Linked DNA regions of Drosophila melanogaster. The gene in region 3 interacts genetically with the main gene of each other region. Each region holds a gene or a part of one and is shown on either strand. Other genes may lie near its edges.

Region 1 (4,925 bases), on a different chromosome or scaffold from region 3:
AAAGTCTGCAGGAGTTGTGTAACAACATAGCTACATAATGCTGATAGGGTAAGAGGGTGAAGTTCATTAGGAAGATATTTTCTCAAATCGAAAGCCTAATCATATTTGCATAATATGAAACTATAAATAATACTACTAAAAGTTTAAACCAATACACGAAGATTGCTTTATAAGCATCATTGAATTGAACCCGATCTTTGATGCTTCCTTTTCATACTCATGAATGCGTTTAAATTCTAATGGTCAATTGGCCCAAGTTTGCTGTGTTGCTTCAGTCGCATATGCCCACCCTACCCAGAACTACAGGGTACTGCAAACGAGAACAGGAAAGTCGATCCTCGCCTGCGCGCATCAGTGTATCTGTGAGTCCGAGTATCTGAGTATCTGTGTGCCGGGTATCTAAAGAGCGCCGCCTGGGCAAAACGGCGTGTGAAAGTAAAGTCGGCCCAGCCGATGGAGGAGAACAAATCAAAGTTCTTGAATGGAGCGGCAGCGGCGGCGATGGCGACGGCGGCGTTCCAGTTCCAAGAATCGATGGCCTTGAAGTAGCCGTTAGGACATCGGGACGCGCTCAATTGACTATTTAGTTTATATTTAGCAGCGTCTAAAAGGATGCCCACAGCGAGTCAGCTAGCTCAAGTGGCCTGCGTCCTGTCTCTTCCCCGCTCCACAAATCGCCAGTCGGACGGACTATCCTTTGTTTGTCTGGGAATAACTGGAAACTGTTTATCATTGTTGTTTCTGCTCCTCATACATACGGCTTCACCTCATTCCGATTCCGAATCGGATTCTTCTGCCGCAGCGACAAAAATGTGTATGGACTATAAAAAAAAAATGCCCACATATACATACATATGTACATATGAACCATTTATTTAAGGAGTTACTATTCACAACTCATCCTTTTGGAGAACATGTAATATTTGTAAAACATTCCGCACTTGTAATTGAGAAATATTGTTGGTATTTTACTAGGAATTCGGGTTAATATGGCCAGTTGATATGTGTGGATTCCTATAACCATTTACGTATGTATGTACATATGATGAGAAAATATTCGAGATCAGTTTGGGTTCCCATCTCGTCTAGAAAATCCTTTGATGACATACCGCTTTCGAAGGTGGCAAGCACTTGGAGGATCATGAGCAGAATTGAAAGGTGTTGACTAGGATTTGAATAGATCATATAAGGAGTGTTTAGGTGGGTCAAACAAAAGAAAATGTTGGGAAAATATACAAAATTCACGACACTGAATCATCAAAAACTTGATGCTCTTACTTTTTTCAAAATCACTTCTAAGAAAAACAATTTATTTCCCCATGGTTTAAACTGGCCAAATCTAAACATAAGCGGCTGATTTTCGGCACGATCATGACATAATCGAAAAATTAAGTATACAAAAATCCACCCCATCAACAATACACCACCCACCCCCCACGCACACCCCCGCCGCGATCGCTCCAAAAGTTTAACGGCGCAAAAAGCGAACACGCAAACTAAAAAACGTCAAAAGAATGCAAAAAATAAAGAAGAAAGCAAAAATTGCGAAGAAAACAACAACAAAATGAATGTGGCAGGTAAATGGAAGCAGAGGAGAAGAGGAAAGAACGAAGATGGCGCGAAGCAAGGTGGAGACGAAGGGGAAGCGAAAGCAAAACGCCGAGAAATATCAATGAACTCCATTCTCCACTTGGCAGTCTATCTCGCTCACTCATTGGTTGGGAGCACGTACATAGAGTAACTACTCACAAAAATAAATATAACCACGATTTTACAATAATTAAAATACTATTATTAATTCTACATATGTAAACATACATACATATGTATGTACGTAGATTGTGGGTAAGGGCTAAATGCCACTACCAATCTTTTTCTTCGTGTACCAAAGATATTTGCGCCACTTTTGACATAATTCATTATTTTGTTCTTCACTCGTTTACTCCATTTTGCTTTGAACCTCTGCTTCGTGTTCGTCAAGTTTTCGAAAGGTCCGTCGACTGATCGGCGATTTTCCGAATTTTTTCGACGTCGCAGTCAAATGCTCTCTTTTTTTCCGTTTTAGAGCGCAGTACTAAAACGTTTTTGTTTGTTGTTGGTGTTGGGAAGGGGAAAATAACTTGACTCGCTGTTCTGATTGGAATAAAACGGAAGAGAGCGAGAGAAAGAGAGCTTACTCTCTCTCTTAGCGAGCGCATTTCTTCCAAGTTTGTGCTTGTGTGTGTGTCATTGGAGGAAGCGTATAAAAATGAAATGAGCATGGGAAAAGAATGGAGAAACGCAAAGTGGCGCGAATTAGGCGTTTGGGCTGGGGCAGTTTTGTTTTACCGCCCAAAATCTATGCGAATGGCGGGAAAAAGTGCAATTCGGGCGGGAGAAAGATTAGAAAGTTGGCCCAAACAGCAGGGTAAACCATAAGCTGCATCTCAAGCCTTCTATAGTAAGAAAAGCTGTAATAGTTCACTGAACTCCCGTTACGCATTAGAAACTCAGTGCACTTTTAGACGTGATTAGAAGCTTTCATTTATTTCATAGGATTTTCCAATTTGTTCCCATTGGATAACGGTTTAATTCTAATAGGACACTTTTCCTTATAGGGGGAACACTAAAACACTGTGTGGGGGAGACAATTTGTAGTTGGACACCCCGTCTCTTGCCAATCAGAAAGCAACGGTTAAATCCTACAGCGTGTCAATTTTCTTATAAGAGGATGTTGTATTTGTAGCAAAAAATGCAAAGACACGACGGCAAACGCAGCATTCTCTCCCGCTCTTTCCTTCACTGTTCCACACACACTTGTCACCGCACACGCGTCATAAATTTTATTCCACTCTGAATAACGTATTGCCTTTTATCCACTAAAACCATTGTGCAATTGGTTTTACCTTCTAGTAAGCGGAAAAATGCTTAACATAATATCCCCGGTGTTTTCACTTGTTTTTCTTAAAGGGAATTGAACAACGTTTTTCGAGAGTTTTTCGTCGTCGTCGTCGCCGGCCACGAAAAAACTTCACGAGCAGCGGAGCGGCGGCAGCAAAGTGATCGCTTTGGAACCGAAAAAAAAATTGGTGGAACTGGGTATCAAAAGCAGCGACGTCGACTGCGGCGAGTGTGCATGAGGAACGCGCCAAAACAGGCGGATCCGAAGCGCCAAAAAATGCAACAAACACAGGGGGCAACTTTGTTGTACTCTAGGGGAGGGACGGAGATGGGGCGAGCATCTCCAGCGCAAAGAACAGAGCGTGAGAAAGCGAGACGGGGCGATGAAGCCGCTGGTGGCAAGCTTGGCATTTTATTGAATGGAGTCTGCAATTGGAGTCCCCAGTCCCCAACAGGCTAGTCAGACTACAATTGGAGGTTCGACGTCCAGTCAGCTGGGTGGTCGAAAAACAGCTGACGAGGATGCCAGAAGGGCGGATTTAGTCGGATATATCGTGGTTATATATAAATACCTAAGATTTATTTCTATGTCATATGCCAATTTTAATTCAAATATGACCTTCAGAAAATAAATATTTAAATTTTAATATGAAACTATTTTTTTTAATATATTTTTAAAGCGCTCCAAAATCAATTCAAGGTTAAAATAAATTTATCTTGAAGGGTATTCATAAATCTTTAAAATTTTAATTATTTATTTATTCTTCAGAAGCCTGAAATTACATGGTTTAATATGCTTTTCTAGTAGTTTTTATGAACTGCAGCCAAATAACATATGACAAGATGACTGAGGTCGAACTAGGTGGTAACGCTGCTTTGAAACCAAACAAACCACTGCCACTTTGTTGTTTTCATCGATTAACATTCGAGCATTTTTGGCACCAACTTCGAGCGCTTATAAATCAGGTAAGCTAAATGAAAAACCATGCGTGCCTATAACCAATTGAAAGATCAAAACTCGCAGAATCTGATTTTTCACTAAAATCGAAAATCCCGTTCAATTCGGCCAAATTAGAATCGATTGAACTTGATGATTTCCCGCGCGCGGGAACCCGACGTCGGCGCGCGCTGCTGACAGCGATGACAGCTGCGCGCGCAAAGAGAAGGCGCGGAAGAGAGCGCGAGAGGGGCAGGGGAACAGAGAGAGAAAGAGGCAAAAACGTCGACGTCGCTGCTCACGTTTTTTTTCCATTACTTTTCGACTGCTACAATATCGATGGAGAAAACGGGGTCTAAAGGAAATGGCTTAAAAAGCAAGTTCACGAACTTTTGAACCCTGCACCTGCTGCAAATCGAATGGGCCAATTGGCCGGCATCACTCACCTGCTGTTGGGCAGGATTCGGGCAAATTCTCAGCGGGATTGCACACTGAAAAACACACGCGGACTGGAATGGTGATGAAAAAAATTGCACACACCGCCGCACACATACACACGCACGCCAGCCAGCAAGACAGTATAGCCTCCTTTTTGTCACCTTTTTCGACAGATTTATCGTGGTTCTGCGGTCTTTTTCACGGCTAGCTCAACCCCACGGCAGTCAAGGCCAATTCGATGCGATCCCCGCGATTTTTCAGCGACTCCAAAGTAACACAATGATCGCAAGTGGCACTGTGACGAGATCGAAATCGAGAGAGCGATGAAAGAGCAAAAAAAAAGGCCATAATCATCTGGCCACACGGCGCAAAGAGAGAGTCGGAGTTTAGTGGCAGCGGCGTTGCCACTACGGCCGATCGCGTTGCGGGATTTTTATTGGCGCGTTATTCAAATTTTGAAAAATAACTTCTATGTTAGCCTGACTTTTACTGCTCTGCATATTTAGTTCACTATTTTTCCGGGCTGATCATATCTGGAAATCGGGTATTTAAAATAATAAAAGATGTGCAACGTGCTTAATGTTAAATGGGGTTTTAGAAAAGAAATTGTATTATATAAATTTTGCTTTGATTGTTCGATTAACGGATATTAAATAATTGGATTTTCCGT
Region 2 (6,254 bases), on a different chromosome or scaffold from region 3:
GGGCTGCCGGACACTCATCAAACCGTGAATCTGGAGGAGGCGGCCAACACCACCAAGGATTGCCTGCTGCATTTGTTGGAGAAATACAACGAGACCCGCATCCGCAATCCGGTGGGTCGTCACCAGAGCATCAGCGTGGACTGGCGGGTCAGCGACAATCTGGAGTACCGCTCCATGAGCTCCATCAACGCCTTCTTCCAGCGCCACAACCCCAATGGCGGCGGCCACAACGTACGCCACATTCAAGCCCAGCTGGAGGAGAAGGCGGCGGGCAAGTAGGTGCCCATATCCACAGCCCTCTGTATATATGCGATATATATATTTGTATGTAGAGTACAGATCAACTAATTGGCACATAGGTAAATCTACAAAGCGTCGAATGGAACAAATTAATATTTATGTACTTGATGTAAGCAATAAATCAAATTAATTTATTGAATAAAACTGAAGCAATGATTCGTTTCTATTGACGCGGGATTGAATTTTGTTGGCATCCCACGATATTTTATAAAAATGAAATTAAAAATTAAAAACGCGATTTATGTACTACCAACTAGAAAATCAAAAACAATTTATTGCAGAAAAACAAATATTAACTTATAAAATGTACAAAATTGTTTTAGTAAACTACATTTTACTGCTACGTCTACAACCAAAGTAATGCGGATGTGTTGGTAATTTTGAAACAGGACAATCGCGTTGTTTTTGTTTTGTTTATTGATGTATGAGTTGAATATGGTTTAATTATACATAGAGTGTCTATACATATAAATATTAGGAGAATACTTTGGATTTGTTCTTAGTTAGGCCTTACAAATTAATGCTTTGTATAAGTGTTATGAAGAATAGGCTCTGCCTATGTGTATAGTATGTATAATAATCTAGTTTTTGTACATGATAGTTTCAGGCAAAATTGTTTTCATAATTTGCCCAGAGATCATAGCAAATCATAAAAGACATTTTTAGCACTGGTTAAGAAATGAGAGCGCGACAATTTGTGTCCATTCGGCGGCATTCATATAAATAAGGCATCCAAACGTGCAGAAATTGACGAAGTTAATTCAAAGGCATTCCTCTTTTTTTTTTTTGTTTTCCACTGGTCGAATTGGTTACAATGTTAGTAGGTCGCAAAAACAAAGCAGCAATGAGCCGAAATGCGGCTTATTGGGGCATCGTTTTGGCGCCCTTAATATGCAAGACAAAACTCAATTCTACTCTCCCCTCAGTTTCAGTACTTGGATGAAGTGGCAGGGCAGAGAAAGGATGAGTTTTGTTCACCCGGCAAATTTCAAATGCAAAAGTTGCCGGCGAAATTTGCAAGGATTTCACAAAGTTATGTAAAGTTAGTATTCCATCGTTATAAAGGTTAAATTTCGGTTGGCTTCAAGATAGTTAAGACTAATTCCATTTAGCTTGCGGTCTCTCTCTTCTTGTTCAATAGTTGTTTGTTGTTAAGAACTAATCACTTAGTTTATGGCATTTCTCACTAGAGAAATCTAAAAAGTTTCATTTAGCTCGAGCTTACTGGTTGACTTACAACTAATTACTGGTTACGAGTAGTTGAAGACTAACGATTAATATTCGCAACTGTCGCCCTTGCACTGCATAAAAAGGTTCGTAATAAAAAATTAGGAAATACTACACAATCGCAGTGGCTTGTAAAAAATAAAATTACAAATTGCAATTCGGTGGGTTGGCCAGCGAATCTGGAGCATTAGTTGTGGCGCGGCCGCTTCAACATCGCCCCAAAGTGTGCCCCCAACCCAAATCCACCGCTGGAGCTGGAGCTGGAAGTGGCGGACGAACTGGGAGAACTGGTGCGCATGCGCTTTGCGGGCGATAGTTTCTTGGGTGCCTGGGCCAGACGTTTGCGCTCCTTCATGAATTCTGTAAACAAAGGAAGGAAAACGAGTGTTATTAATACGTGTTAGGTGGAATTGCCAAATCAAAGTCAGCTGCTGCATTTCCGGTTGCCCCTGTTCACAAGTCACTGATCCCTAAACAGCAGGCGCCGCCTGTTTTTCTGTTTTTGCACATTTTGATTTCGGTTTCGGGTAGATTCCCAGATTGTGGCACGTGGACGGCAGCACTTCCCTACCAGAGGGTTGCAGATCCGCACAGGGGTAGCAAATAAATGCCAGACGGCAGCCAGACAGTCGGTCTTTAGCCGGTTTTCAGGTAGTCCGGTGAAAGCAAGAGTGGTGGTGCTACATAACTGCATAAATTATGAGCTCTAGCTTACTGGCCAAAGCAGCAAAAAGTGCACTTTAAGTAAAGCGAGTTGAGGCGTTGGGGGATTCAAAGGCTTCCCTACTGACCACCCGATGCGGGTGCATTTATTATGTTCCGAACAGACACAATTTTTTTATGATTATAATTACACATGCATGTGCTAGTGGCATTTATAAAAAACGCTCAGTACAAAGCAATCAAAGGGAGGTTTGATAAGACCATGGACTCTGGATGGTGGTGCATTGAAAGCCGATCCCCAGACCCCTCTCCCGTTTTCTATAATGAGGTCAGGCCATAGACAAAGCGGAGTCACAGCTGTTGGCATTTATAGATGCAGCCAGCCAGCCCGCATGCTATCGATCTGGAAACCAACCCCCGCGTTGTGGAGGATCAGAAGAGAATCATTCGGTTTAGGGAGATGAGGAGCTGAAACAGCTGCAGTCAGCTTTGACTTACCCTTCTGGACGAAAATAAATCTCCCACAAAGCATTGGCTAATTGCTATAATTTGGGTCTAAGTTTCACGAAAAACGCCCACAACTAAAACGTGAATATAAACAATAAATGCGAAGGAGTGGACTTAAAACCAATCAAACAACCCCTTATGGAGTTTAGTATTGTAAGTACAAAATCCTGCACAAAATATTGGTTTGGCATAAAATCATTGATGAAAATCGTTTTCATCGAGTTTGCAAAACAAAGAGCACGAATCTACTTTTATATCTCGAGCACTATATTCGGAAATTTTTAGATAATACTCTCTACTCTACAGATAATTTTGAAAAATAATATCGTATCAGTCCGATTACAAAACAAGCCTGATAAGTTAAAAAAAAAAAAAAAACACCCTCAACTTCCTCCTGAGAACCGAAAATAAACAGGGAATAAAAGGAAAGCTATGGGAAAACACTTTGTAACGTCTATCGAAGTGAAATGAAGCCTGACCCTGGGAACCGTCAAGCTCTACTGATCAAAATGGTGTAGAACATCCCCCAAAACTCACCTGTGATTTTTGGCTGTCTCTTGCGCAGGACTATGGAGGATGTGCTTGTCGTGCTGGAGGAGCTAAGCCGCATTGCCAGCGACTCGTCCTGGGAGTCGTAACAAGATTCATTATCCGTGTTCGACTCTAGCGAGGAATTGACCAGATTGGAGCCAAAGTTCTCCCGTTCTGAGCGCTCGTTGACCAAAATGTCCATGTCGCTAGGACTTGCATCCGCGGAAGGGCGTACGTGGGCGGCCCGTGTTAGGGTGTACATCTCTGGGGCGAAGCTCGACTCCTGGAAGCTGACGCGCTCCCAAATGTAGGGTGATTTTTCAGCTAAAGGGCAGCCGGCGCGGAAGTCAAAGCCCCATTTTTGCGTGGCCAGTTCTTGATGGCGCTCCAGTTCGGAATTAAAGGGTCTAAAGAGGATATATTGTTAGCTATTGGTCAAAATCCAACTGTTATTATAGAAACTCACGTTTTGTTGGCTGTACCCTCGGCGGATTTGGAGCTACCGAAGAGGTCACGCTTTATGCGATTCAACTGACGACCGCATGCCAGATTGCGACTCACCGCCGGGCTGCTGCTCATCTTGCAGAACTCACTGATCATCACAGGATTCAGGACTCGGGCACTGACCATGTTGAGTCAATATATATTTTTTTGGGATCCCCTAGTGTTTTCTACTCTGTTTTGAGACGCACTTTTCTTGCCACTTGTTTGCGAATTACACGCCAAAGCGAACTGTCAAACTTTTGGCGCCAAAACTTTGTGTTCAGACAGCCCCAAAAGAGAGAGAGGCAGTCTCCACACGAATACAAATCACGGTCTCCACACGCGAGCGTGTGTGTATGTGAGAGGGAGAGCGAGTGTTCTGTGTGTGCGTTGTGCTGCAGCTTATTTTACGTCTTGCTGCGTTCAAAAGTGAAATTTCACGCTGCAATTGTTTATAAAAATAATTATAAACAAATGCCTTGGTCCAATAGCACTTGGTCACTATCTTTGAATGGCGATTCGAACACACTGCACTGCTAGTCGACTCACAAAACGAAACGTTTGCGGGTCTCGTTGGAGTTTTTGTATGAGTTAGCTGCCAATGGCAGCACCTTTGTATTATATTTGTCTTTACAACTTGAAGTCGTTTTTACAGCGATGTTTGTTAACCTTTTCGGCTATGAGCGCACTGCGCACTAGATTTTTAAATATAGCGCTACCGATCGAAGCGAACCTCTCTCGACGAACTCGGAGAAACGAATAAAAGATAAATAAAACACTGGGCAAAAGCAAACGTCAAACAACCACCAGAGGCGTTGCCAACTGGAAATTCAGAGCGGTTCACGCTCTCTCTGTAGCAACCCTCGAATTCGAAAAGATCGGAAAAGCAGCAGGAGCGAAAGAGATAGGGAAAAAGAATGCGCTTTTAATGTTAATCATATCGAAAGAGCAATGCACTTCCTTTGAATTGTTCTTTAAACTTATATAGCAAACGTATAAAAAATACTCAGAAAAATAAAAGTTTCCTAACAAAATTTAACTAAGGCATCTGAGTTTAAAAGTTTTGATATTATGAGCTTTAATATAATTATTGATTGTTGGAATCATCATATAGTACAATATATAATACGTATTCATTATTATTATTATTATTATTATTATCATTATTTTCATTATTTCCTGTCAAATAATATTCACAGCTCATAAGCCCATAGTTCATTTGTAAACAGTATTCAACCAGATTTTATTTTTAATGTTTTTGAAATAACCAATTTAATTATATTTTAAACTGTCCAAGGTTCCTTCATAGAGCGTATCAAGAAAGTCGTCACAACTTCCACAACCTCTCTCTCTCTCACCATATGTCTCCCACTCTCTCGCACGCCATCTACCCATCCCTGCCATTTCCATCCGTGTGTTCTGTTCGCTGCCTTCTTGGTTGTTGTTGCATCGGTGGAGCTGTACTTTTAGTTGCGATTGCGATGGGAAGATACGAAAAAACGATGTTATGGTTTTGGTTTGTTTGGCCTCAAACTGGATTTTTAGTCGTCGGAGGGAAGTGGCAGGGGGCATTTGGGGCACCAATTCTTTTCACTTTCCTCGTGTTGCCAAGGGGAAAATCGCGCTTGCATTGTGGGGCACTGGTCCACCAAATATACATTTGTACGATGTATGTATGTATGTATGTAAAATAATGTGCACGTCTAGTTCGAATTTCCTTGTGGTGTTTGCATAGCACTGGGTATTTCAAATTTCCGTTATGGTTCACTTTGTGAAACGCAAGTTTTCTGCTCATTTCGTGCTGCATTTTCATAAAGTTTTTTTCCTTTCGTGTGCAAAATCGTAAAAAATTAAATTACACTACCAAAGGCAATAAAACGAGATTTATATTGTTTGAACAAATCCAATTAAATAAGAAGGAAAGAATTGGGACAAAGCCTTGGAAGTCAGATTCGTAGACTAAAGACATCATTTGCTTTGTCCTTTGCACTCGACGAAATAATGGGAAAACCCATCGGCTTTCCACACAAAAACCCGAGAAAAAAAAAAACAAGAAAAAACGGAGTGCAATCACCCCAAAAAAGGCAGAGATCGTTTGACGAACGTTCGATTAGGCAGCATCATCATCCATCCATAATTCGTTCCTTTCCACTCCCATAAGATCCGATCCCTTGTGGTTCGGTTTTCTGTTTATGGGACACACCCTCCCTCAAAAAGAAAAGCAACGTGAATTTACACACTTTATAACAAATTTGAGAATTCTACTGGCGTTCGGCGGCAGTCATGCCTGAAAACATAAACAACTCAAGAAGGAGTTTTTCGAAAGGGGAAGAGTTCGTGATCCCTTTAAGTAATTTCCTCCCGAGCAGGATATCCTGGCTTTATATGGGTTGTGTCAACACACGCGGAAAAACAAAAAAAAAAAAGGCTGAGAAAAGAGGTGGAAAAGCGGTTCTCAAGTGTCCCGCTTATGAGGGCAGATCCTAAAGGATTGTCGTGGAACGTGCGGGCATTGGATGGCACTCAAGGTATTCACTTGATTG
Region 3 (7,952 bases):
ATTCTTGAAGTTAACGTTTTGTTTGTTTAAGTTTTTACTCTCACTTTTCTTGAATAAACCAGTTGAATACAATCCAGACTATCCGATATAGCAGTTTCCTGTAAGGTCACATTGATTTACGCAATTTAAGTTAGTAAAATGTAATACAAATCTCACCTCAAAGAAAACACGGTCAAAAGGTGGCTCACTTTTGGTCCAGTCCGCTAGATTCTATAGGTTATCAATGCAATAGGTGATTTATTAATATGATAAGAATTCGAAGTACTCACATTAGATGCGGTCGGTATAAGCTGGCTGCGGCAATTCTGAAGATCTTCTATAGAATCATCACCCATATGCCCATAGAACTGCAACTCCTCCGGAGAACCTCCGGCTGTGATGAGAGTATATATTTTGGTATCCATTGCTCCAACGGCCAGCAGTTGGTTGGCTTGCTGCCTGGAATTGTGATTATAAATAATTAGGTGTTTGCAGCGAAGAGCTCGAAGCGCCGACAAGTCACTGGTCAAAATCAAGCCAATCATTGGTTCTCCATCGGCAAGAGAATTAAATAAGTTCACTTTTTGGGGACCATCTAGCTGCGCATGGTCCAAACTATAACTCTGACAGTATCCCCTGACCAGGGTGAGGCAATCCTCACTGTTTGCCAAGATGCAGCACTTCTCGCCTCGCTCCGCCACTAAGTGATCCAGCATTACGTGTAGAAACTCGAACTTGGCGGAGTCGTAAAGTCCCATGCTTGGCCAAGGCGGCAGTATGGCGTCCAGTACCTCCATTATTTCCTTAAACACTGGATTCGTACCCAAAGTTTTTAGGAGCACAGGATGATCACATACAATTTGGAAGATTTCCTTCAACGTAGACGATTCCTGAAATACAAGTTTTTTGATTTGTTTATGCATGTAAATTGGTCTAAATCTATCTTACTGTTTTAGATGTTTGTGCATATTCAGAAACAAAGAGTAATATTTTTTTCTGCAGTTCAGCTGGAGTTAATAGACACAGATATTCCGATTGGGTGAACTCCTTGGTAGGGTTTTCTATCTTCAAAGTGTTTTGTTCATAGATTTTCTTTCCCATCGAAGTGCTGGAATCGGCGGCTGCATAGGAGACATGTTTATCTTCTCTATGTTGGCTAATTTCCAAATGCGGTGGAGCAAAGGCATCTGCCTCGCGCTTGATCTTCTTGAGCAGATGAGACCTAACGGGTGCACTGTCAGCAGGTGGTGGCGATGTGTCTGTACAACCATTCTGGGCATCTATTTTTTGGCACCAGTTGGCTATTTCCAACTGGCGCTGAATAAGGCACTCCTCGACGGTTTTAATCTCCTCCTGAATCTCGACATCCTTGCTGCCTACTTCCAGCTGATCGTTCTCCTGAAGTTGCCGCTGCTTAAAGTATGTCATGGTGTCCACAACCTTGCCGGTGTCATCCTTCAATGTTACTATGGATCCCGTGACCACCAGCGTTCCGTTGCCAGTCCACGTTTTGTGCTTTTTGGTGGTCTGATTACGCCAGAGCACATGGAAGATGCGGCTATCTTTGAGGGGATTCTCGCCCGCCCTGAATTCTCGAGGTCCCAGGCTTTGGGTGCCCCCTGAGGTGCCCCATTCGCTGGGTAGATTGTTTTTGGGCCAGGAGCAGGGTGACTGTGGTTCCTCTTTGGGAGGCGCCGCTTCGCTCTCTCGCTTTGCAGCGCGGCGCATGGAAGGAGCTTTGGAACGCCGCTTTATGGTGCTAAAGAAGAGGATTACCGGGTATAGTTCACCGTAAATACATAAGTTAATTTAAAAACTTTTGCTATCAACAAAATATAAATATACAAGGCGCAATCTATTTTCAAGCCACTTGTAAGTGTGGCCAATGAAGTGAACCTCGAAAGGTATTCCGAACCCTGGTCACACTGGCATTCTGCTGGTAGCCGGCTCTGGATGATTTTCTGATAGAAATCTCGCAGAGGCAGTGGTGTTTTTGTGAATCCCCTCAGCCACGATGGCGTTCCACTGGTGCGACAACAATCTGCACACCACCGTGTTCACGCCGCGCGACTTTCAGGTGGAGCTACTGGCCACCGCCTACGAGCGGAACACGATTATTTGCCTGGGCCATCGAAGTTCCAAGGAGTTTATAGCCCTCAAGCTGCTCCAGGAGCTGTCGCGTCGAGCACGCCGACATGGTCGTGTCAGTGTCTATCTCAGTTGCGAGGTTGGCACCAGCACGGAACCATGCTCCATCTACACGATGCTCACCCACTTGACTGACCTGCGGGTGTGGCAGGAGCAGCCGGATATGCAAATTCCCTTTGATCATTGCTGGACGGACTATCACGTTTCCATCCTACGGCCAGAGGGATTTCTTTATCTGCTCGAAACTCGCGAGCTGCTGCTGAGCAGCGTCGAACTGATCGTGCTGGAAGATTGTCATGACAGCGCCGTTTATCAGAGGATAAGGCCTCTGTTCGAGAATCACATTATGCCAGCGCCACCGGCGGACAGGCCACGGATTCTCGGACTCGCTGGACCGCTGCACAGCGCCGGATGTGAGCTGCAGCAACTGAGCGCCATGCTGGCCACCCTGGAGCAGAGTGTGCTTTGCCAGATCGAGACGGCCAGTGATATTGTCACCGTGTTGCGTTACTGTTCCCGACCGCACGAATACATCGTACAGTGCGCCCCCTTCGAGATGGACGAACTGTCCCTGGTGCTTGCCGATGTGCTCAACACACACAAGTCCTTTTTATTGGACCACCGCTACGATCCCTACGAAATCTACGGCACAGACCAGTTTATGGACGAACTGAAAGACATACCCGATCCCAAGGTGGACCCCCTGAACGTCATCAACTCACTACTGGTCGTGCTGCACGAGATGGGTCCTTGGTGCACGCAGCGGGCTGCACATCACTTTTACCAATGCAATGAGAAGTTAAAGGTGAAGACGCCGCACGAACGTCACTACTTGCTGTACTGCCTAGTGAGCACGGCCCTTATCCAACTGTACTCCCTCTGCGAACACGCATTCCATCGACATTTAGGAAGTGGCAGCGATTCACGCCAGACCATCGAACGCTATTCCAGCCCCAAGGTGCGACGTCTGTTGCAGACACTGAGGTGCTTCAAGCCGGAAGAGGTGCACACCCAAGCGGACGGACTGCGCAGAATGCGGCATCAGGTGGATCAGGCGGACTTCAATCGGTTATCTCATACGCTGGAAAGCAAGTGCCGAATGGTGGATCAAATGGACCAACCGCCGACGGAGACACGAGCCCTGGTGGCCACTCTTGAGCAGATTCTGCACACGACAGAGGACAGGCAGACGAACAGAAGCGCCGCTCGGGTGACTCCTACTCCTACTCCCGCTCATGCGAAGCCGAAACCTAGCTCTGGTGCCAACACTGCACAACCACGAACTCGTAGACGTGTGTACACCAGGCGCCACCACCGGGATCACAATGATGGCAGCGACACGCTCTGCGCACTGATTTACTGCAACCAGAACCACACGGCTCGCGTGCTCTTTGAGCTTCTAGCGGAGATTAGCAGACGTGATCCCGATCTCAAGTTCCTACGCTGCCAGTACACCACGGACCGGGTGGCAGATCCCACCACGGAGCCCAAAGAGGCTGAGTTGGAGCACCGGCGGCAGGAAGAGGTGCTAAAGCGCTTCCGCATGCATGACTGCAATGTCCTGATCGGTACTTCGGTGCTGGAAGAGGGCATCGATGTGCCCAAGTGCAATTTGGTTGTGCGCTGGGATCCGCCAACCACATATCGCAGTTACGTTCAGTGCAAAGGTCGAGCCCGTGCTGCTCCAGCCTATCATGTCATTCTCGTCGCTCCGAGTTATAAAAGCCCAACTGTGGGGTCAGTGCAGCTGACCGATCGGAGTCATCGGTATATTTGCGCGACTGGTGATACTACAGAGGCGGACAGCGACTCTGATGATTCAGCGATGCCAAACTCGTCCGGCTCGGATCCCTATACTTTTGGCACGGCACGCGGAACCGTGAAGATCCTCAACCCCGAAGTGTTCAGTAAACAACCACCGACAGCGTGCGACATTAAGCTGCAGGAGATCCAGGACGAATTGCCAGCCGCAGCGCAGCTGGATACGAGCAACTCCAGCGACGAAGCCGTCAGCATGAGTAACACGTCTCCAAGCGAGAGCAGTACAGAACAAAAATCCAGACGCTTCCAGTGCGAGCTGAGCTCTTTAACGGAGCCAGAAGACACAAGTGATACTACAGCCGAAATCGATACTGCTCATAGTTTAGCCAGCACCACGAAGGACTTGGTGCATCAAATGGCACAGTATCGCGAAATCGAGCAGATGCTGCTATCCAAGTGCGCCAACACAGAGCCGCCGGAGCAGGAGCAGAGTGAGGCGGAACGTTTTAGTGCCTGCCTGGCCGCATACCGACCCAAGCCGCACCTGCTAACAGGCGCCTCCGTGGATCTGGGTTCTGCTATAGCTTTGGTCAACAAGTACTGCGCCCGACTGCCAAGCGACACGTTCACCAAGTTGACGGCGTTGTGGCGCTGCACCCGAAACGAAAGGGCTGGAGTGACCCTGTTTCAGTACACACTCCGTCTGCCCATCAACTCGCCATTGAAGCATGACATTGTGGTAAGTACTTGTAATACGAATTATTTAAGATTTGTTAAATACTCTTCTTTAGGGTCTTCCGATGCCAACTCAAACATTGGCCCGCCGACTGGCTGCCTTGCAGGCTTGCGTGGAACTGCACAGGATCGGTGAGTTAGACGATCAGTTGCAGCCTATCGGCAAGGAGGGATTTCGTGCCCTGGAGCCGGACTGGGAGTGCTTTGAACTGGAGCCAGAGGACGAACAGATTGTGCAGCTAAGCGATGAACCACGTCCGGGAACAACGAAGCGTCGTCAGTACTATTACAAACGCATTGCATCCGAATTTTGCGATTGCCGTCCCGTTGCCGGAGCGCCATGCTATTTGTACTTTATCCAACTGACGCTCCAATGTCCGATTCCCGAAGAGCAAAACACGCGGGGACGCAAGATTTATCCGCCCGAAGATGCGCAGCAGGGATTCGGCATTCTAACCACCAAACGGATACCCAAGCTGAGTGCTTTCTCGATATTCACGCGTTCCGGTGAGGTGAAGGTTTCCCTGGAGTTAGCTAAGGAACGCGTGATTCTAACTAGCGAACAAATAGTCTGCATCAACGGATTTTTAAACTACACGTTCACCAATGTACTGCGTTTGCAAAAGTTTCTGATGCTCTTCGATCCGGACTCCACGGAAAATTGTGTATTCATTGTGCCCACCGTGAAGGCACCAGCTGGCGGCAAGCACATCGACTGGCAGTTTCTGGAGCTGATCCAAGCGAATGGAAATACAATGCCACGGGCAGTGCCCGATGAGGAGCGCCAGGCGCAGCCGTTTGATCCGCAACGCTTCCAGGATGCCGTCGTTATGCCGTGGTATCGCAACCAGGATCAACCGCAGTATTTCTATGTGGCGGAGATATGTCCACATCTATCCCCACTCAGCTGCTTCCCTGGTGACAACTACCGCACGTTCAAGCACTACTACCTCGTCAAGTATGGTCTGACCATACAGAATACCTCGCAGCCGCTATTGGACGTGGATCACACCAGTGCGCGGTTAAACTTCCTCACGCCACGATACGTTAATCGCAAGGGCGTTGCTCTGCCCACTAGTTCGGAGGAGACAAAGCGGGCAAAGCGCGAGAATCTCGAACAGAAGCAGATCCTTGTGCCAGAGCTCTGCACTGTGCATCCATTCCCCGCCTCCTTGTGGCGAACTGCCGTGTGCCTGCCCTGCATCCTGTACCGCATAAATGGTCTTCTATTGGCCGACGATATTCGGAAACAGGTTTCTGCGGATCTGGGGCTGGGAAGGCAACAGATCGAAGATGAGGATTTCGAGTGGCCCATGCTGGACTTTGGGTGGAGTCTATCGGAGGTGCTCAAGAAATCGCGGGAGTCCAAACAAAAGGAGTCCCTTAAGGATGATACTATTAATGGCAAAGACTTAGCTGATGTTGAAAAGAAACCGACTAGCGAGGAGACCCAACTAGATAAGGATTCAAAAGACGATAAGGTTGAGAAAAGTGCTATTGAACTAATCATTGAGGGAGAGGAGAAGCTGCAAGAGGCTGATGACTTCATTGAGATAGGCACTTGGTCAAACGATATGGCCGACGATATAGCTAGTTTTAACCAAGAAGACGACGACGAGGATGACGCCTTCCATCTCCCAGTTTTACCGGCAAACGTTAAGTTCTGTAAGTTATTTAAATCCCTTGCTAAGGATCAGAAATAATCCCTAATACATCTTACAGGTGATCAGCAAACGCGCTACGGTTCGCCCACATTTTGGGATGTGAGCAATGGCGAAAGCGGCTTCAAGGGTCCAAAGAGCAGTCAGAATAAGCAGGGTGGCAAGGGCAAAGCAAAGGGTCCGGCAAAGCCCACATTTAACTATTATGACTCGGACAATTCGCTGGGTTCCAGCTACGATGACGACGATAACGCAGGTCCGCTCAATTACATGCATCACAACTACAGTTCGGATGACGACGATGTGGCAGATGATATCGATGCGGGACGCATTGCGTTCACCTCCAAGAATGAAGCGGAGACTATTGAAACCGCACAGGAAGTGGAAAAGCGCCAGAAGCAGCTGTCCATCATCCAGGCGACCAATGCTAACGAGCGGCAGTATCAGCAGACAAAGAACCTGCTCATTGGATTCAATTTTAAGCATGAGGACCAGAAGGAACCTGCCACTATAAGATATGAAGAATCCATAGCTAAGCTCAAAACGGAAATAGAATCCGGCGGCATGTTGGTGCCGCACGACCAGCAGTTGGTTCTAAAAAGAAGTGATGCCGCTGAGGCTCAGGTTGCAAAGGTATCGATGATGGAGCTATTGAAGCAGCTGCTGCCGTATGTAAATGAAGATGTGCTGGCCAAAAAGCTGGGTGATAGGCGCGAGCTTCTGCTGTCGGATTTGGTAGAGCTAAATGCAGATTGGGTAGCGCGACATGAGCAGGAGACCTACAATGTAATGGGATGCGGAGATAGTTTTGACAACTATAACGATCATCATCGGCTGAACTTGGATGAAAAGCAACTGAAACTGCAATACGAACGAATTGAAATTGAGCCACCTACTTCCACGAAGGCCATAACCTCAGCCATATTACCAGCTGGCTTCAGTTTCGATCGACAACCGGATCTAGTGGGCCATCCAGGACCCAGTCCCAGCATCATTTTGCAAGCCCTCACAATGTCCAATGCTAACGATGGCATCAATCTGGAGCGACTGGAGACAATTGGAGATTCCTTTCTAAAGTATGCCATTACCACCTACTTGTACATCACCTACGAGAATGTGCACGAGGGAAAACTAAGTCACCTGCGCTCCAAGCAGGTTGCCAATCTCAATCTCTATCGTCTGGGCAGACGTAAGAGACTGGGTGAATATATGATAGCCACTAAATTCGAGCCGCACGACAATTGGCTGCCACCCTGCTACTACGTGCCAAAGGAGCTAGAGAAGGCGCTCATCGAGGCGAAGATCCCCACTCACCATTGGAAGCTGGCCGATCTGCTAGACATTAAGAACCTAAGCAGTGTGCAAATCTGCGAGATGGTTCGCGAAAAAGCCGATGCCCTGGGCTTGGAGCAGAATGGGGGTGCCCAAAATGGACAACTTGACGACTCCAATGATAGCTGCAATGATTTTAGCTGTTTTATTCCCTACAACCTTGTTTCGCAACACAGCATTCCGGATAAGTCTATTGCCGATTGCGTCGAAGCCCTCATTGGAGCCTATCTCATTGAGTGCGGACCCCGAGGGGCTTTACTCTTTATGGCCTGGCTGGGCGTGAGAGTGCTCCCTATCACAAGGCAGTTGGACGGGGGTAACCAGGAGCAACGAATA

What was found.
Region 1: of Dcr-1 (region 3) and CycE, changing one suppresses a phenotype caused by changing the other (phenotypic suppression), as found in Drosophila melanogaster (one study listed by BioGRID).
Region 2: of Dcr-1 (region 3) and dap, changing one suppresses a phenotype caused by changing the other (phenotypic suppression), as found in Drosophila melanogaster (2 studies listed by BioGRID).

What each region holds. Positions count from the first base shown.
Region 1 is NT_033779.5:15,743,570-15,748,494, forward strand, and holds the start of CycE (cyclin E), read right to left. Parts: upstream 3,042-4,925; 5' UTR 2,915-3,041; coding exon 2,886-2,914; exon of another isoform or gene 2,688-2,885; intron 2,075-2,687; exon of another isoform or gene 1,823-2,074; intron 1-1,822. UniProt on the Drosophila melanogaster protein: Essential for the control of the cell cycle at the G1/S (start) transition. Targeted by archipelago for degradation by the SFC ubiquitin ligase complex.
Region 2 is NT_033778.4:9,710,544-9,716,797, reverse strand, and holds dap (dacapo), read right to left. Parts: upstream 4,478-6,254; 5' UTR 3,859-4,477; coding exon 3,695-3,858; intron 3,636-3,694; coding exon 3,235-3,635; intron 1,888-3,234; coding exon 1,715-1,887; 3' UTR 542-1,714; downstream 1-541. Other genes in the region: sqa (spaghetti-squash activator), read left to right, coding at 1-279.
Region 3 is NT_033777.3:22,735,072-22,743,023, reverse strand, and holds the start of Dcr-1 (Dicer-1), read left to right. Parts: upstream 1-1,932; 5' UTR 1,933-1,993; coding exon 1,994-4,627; intron 4,628-4,679; coding exon 4,680-6,288; intron 6,289-6,345; coding exon 6,346-7,952. Other genes in the region: CG6985 (uncharacterized protein), read right to left, coding at 27-98, 157-210, 270-869, 928-1,707. UniProt on the Drosophila melanogaster protein: Endoribonuclease which functions in microRNA- (miRNA) gene silencing and, independently of its ribonuclease III activity, also acts in the short interfering RNA- (siRNA) gene silencing pathway.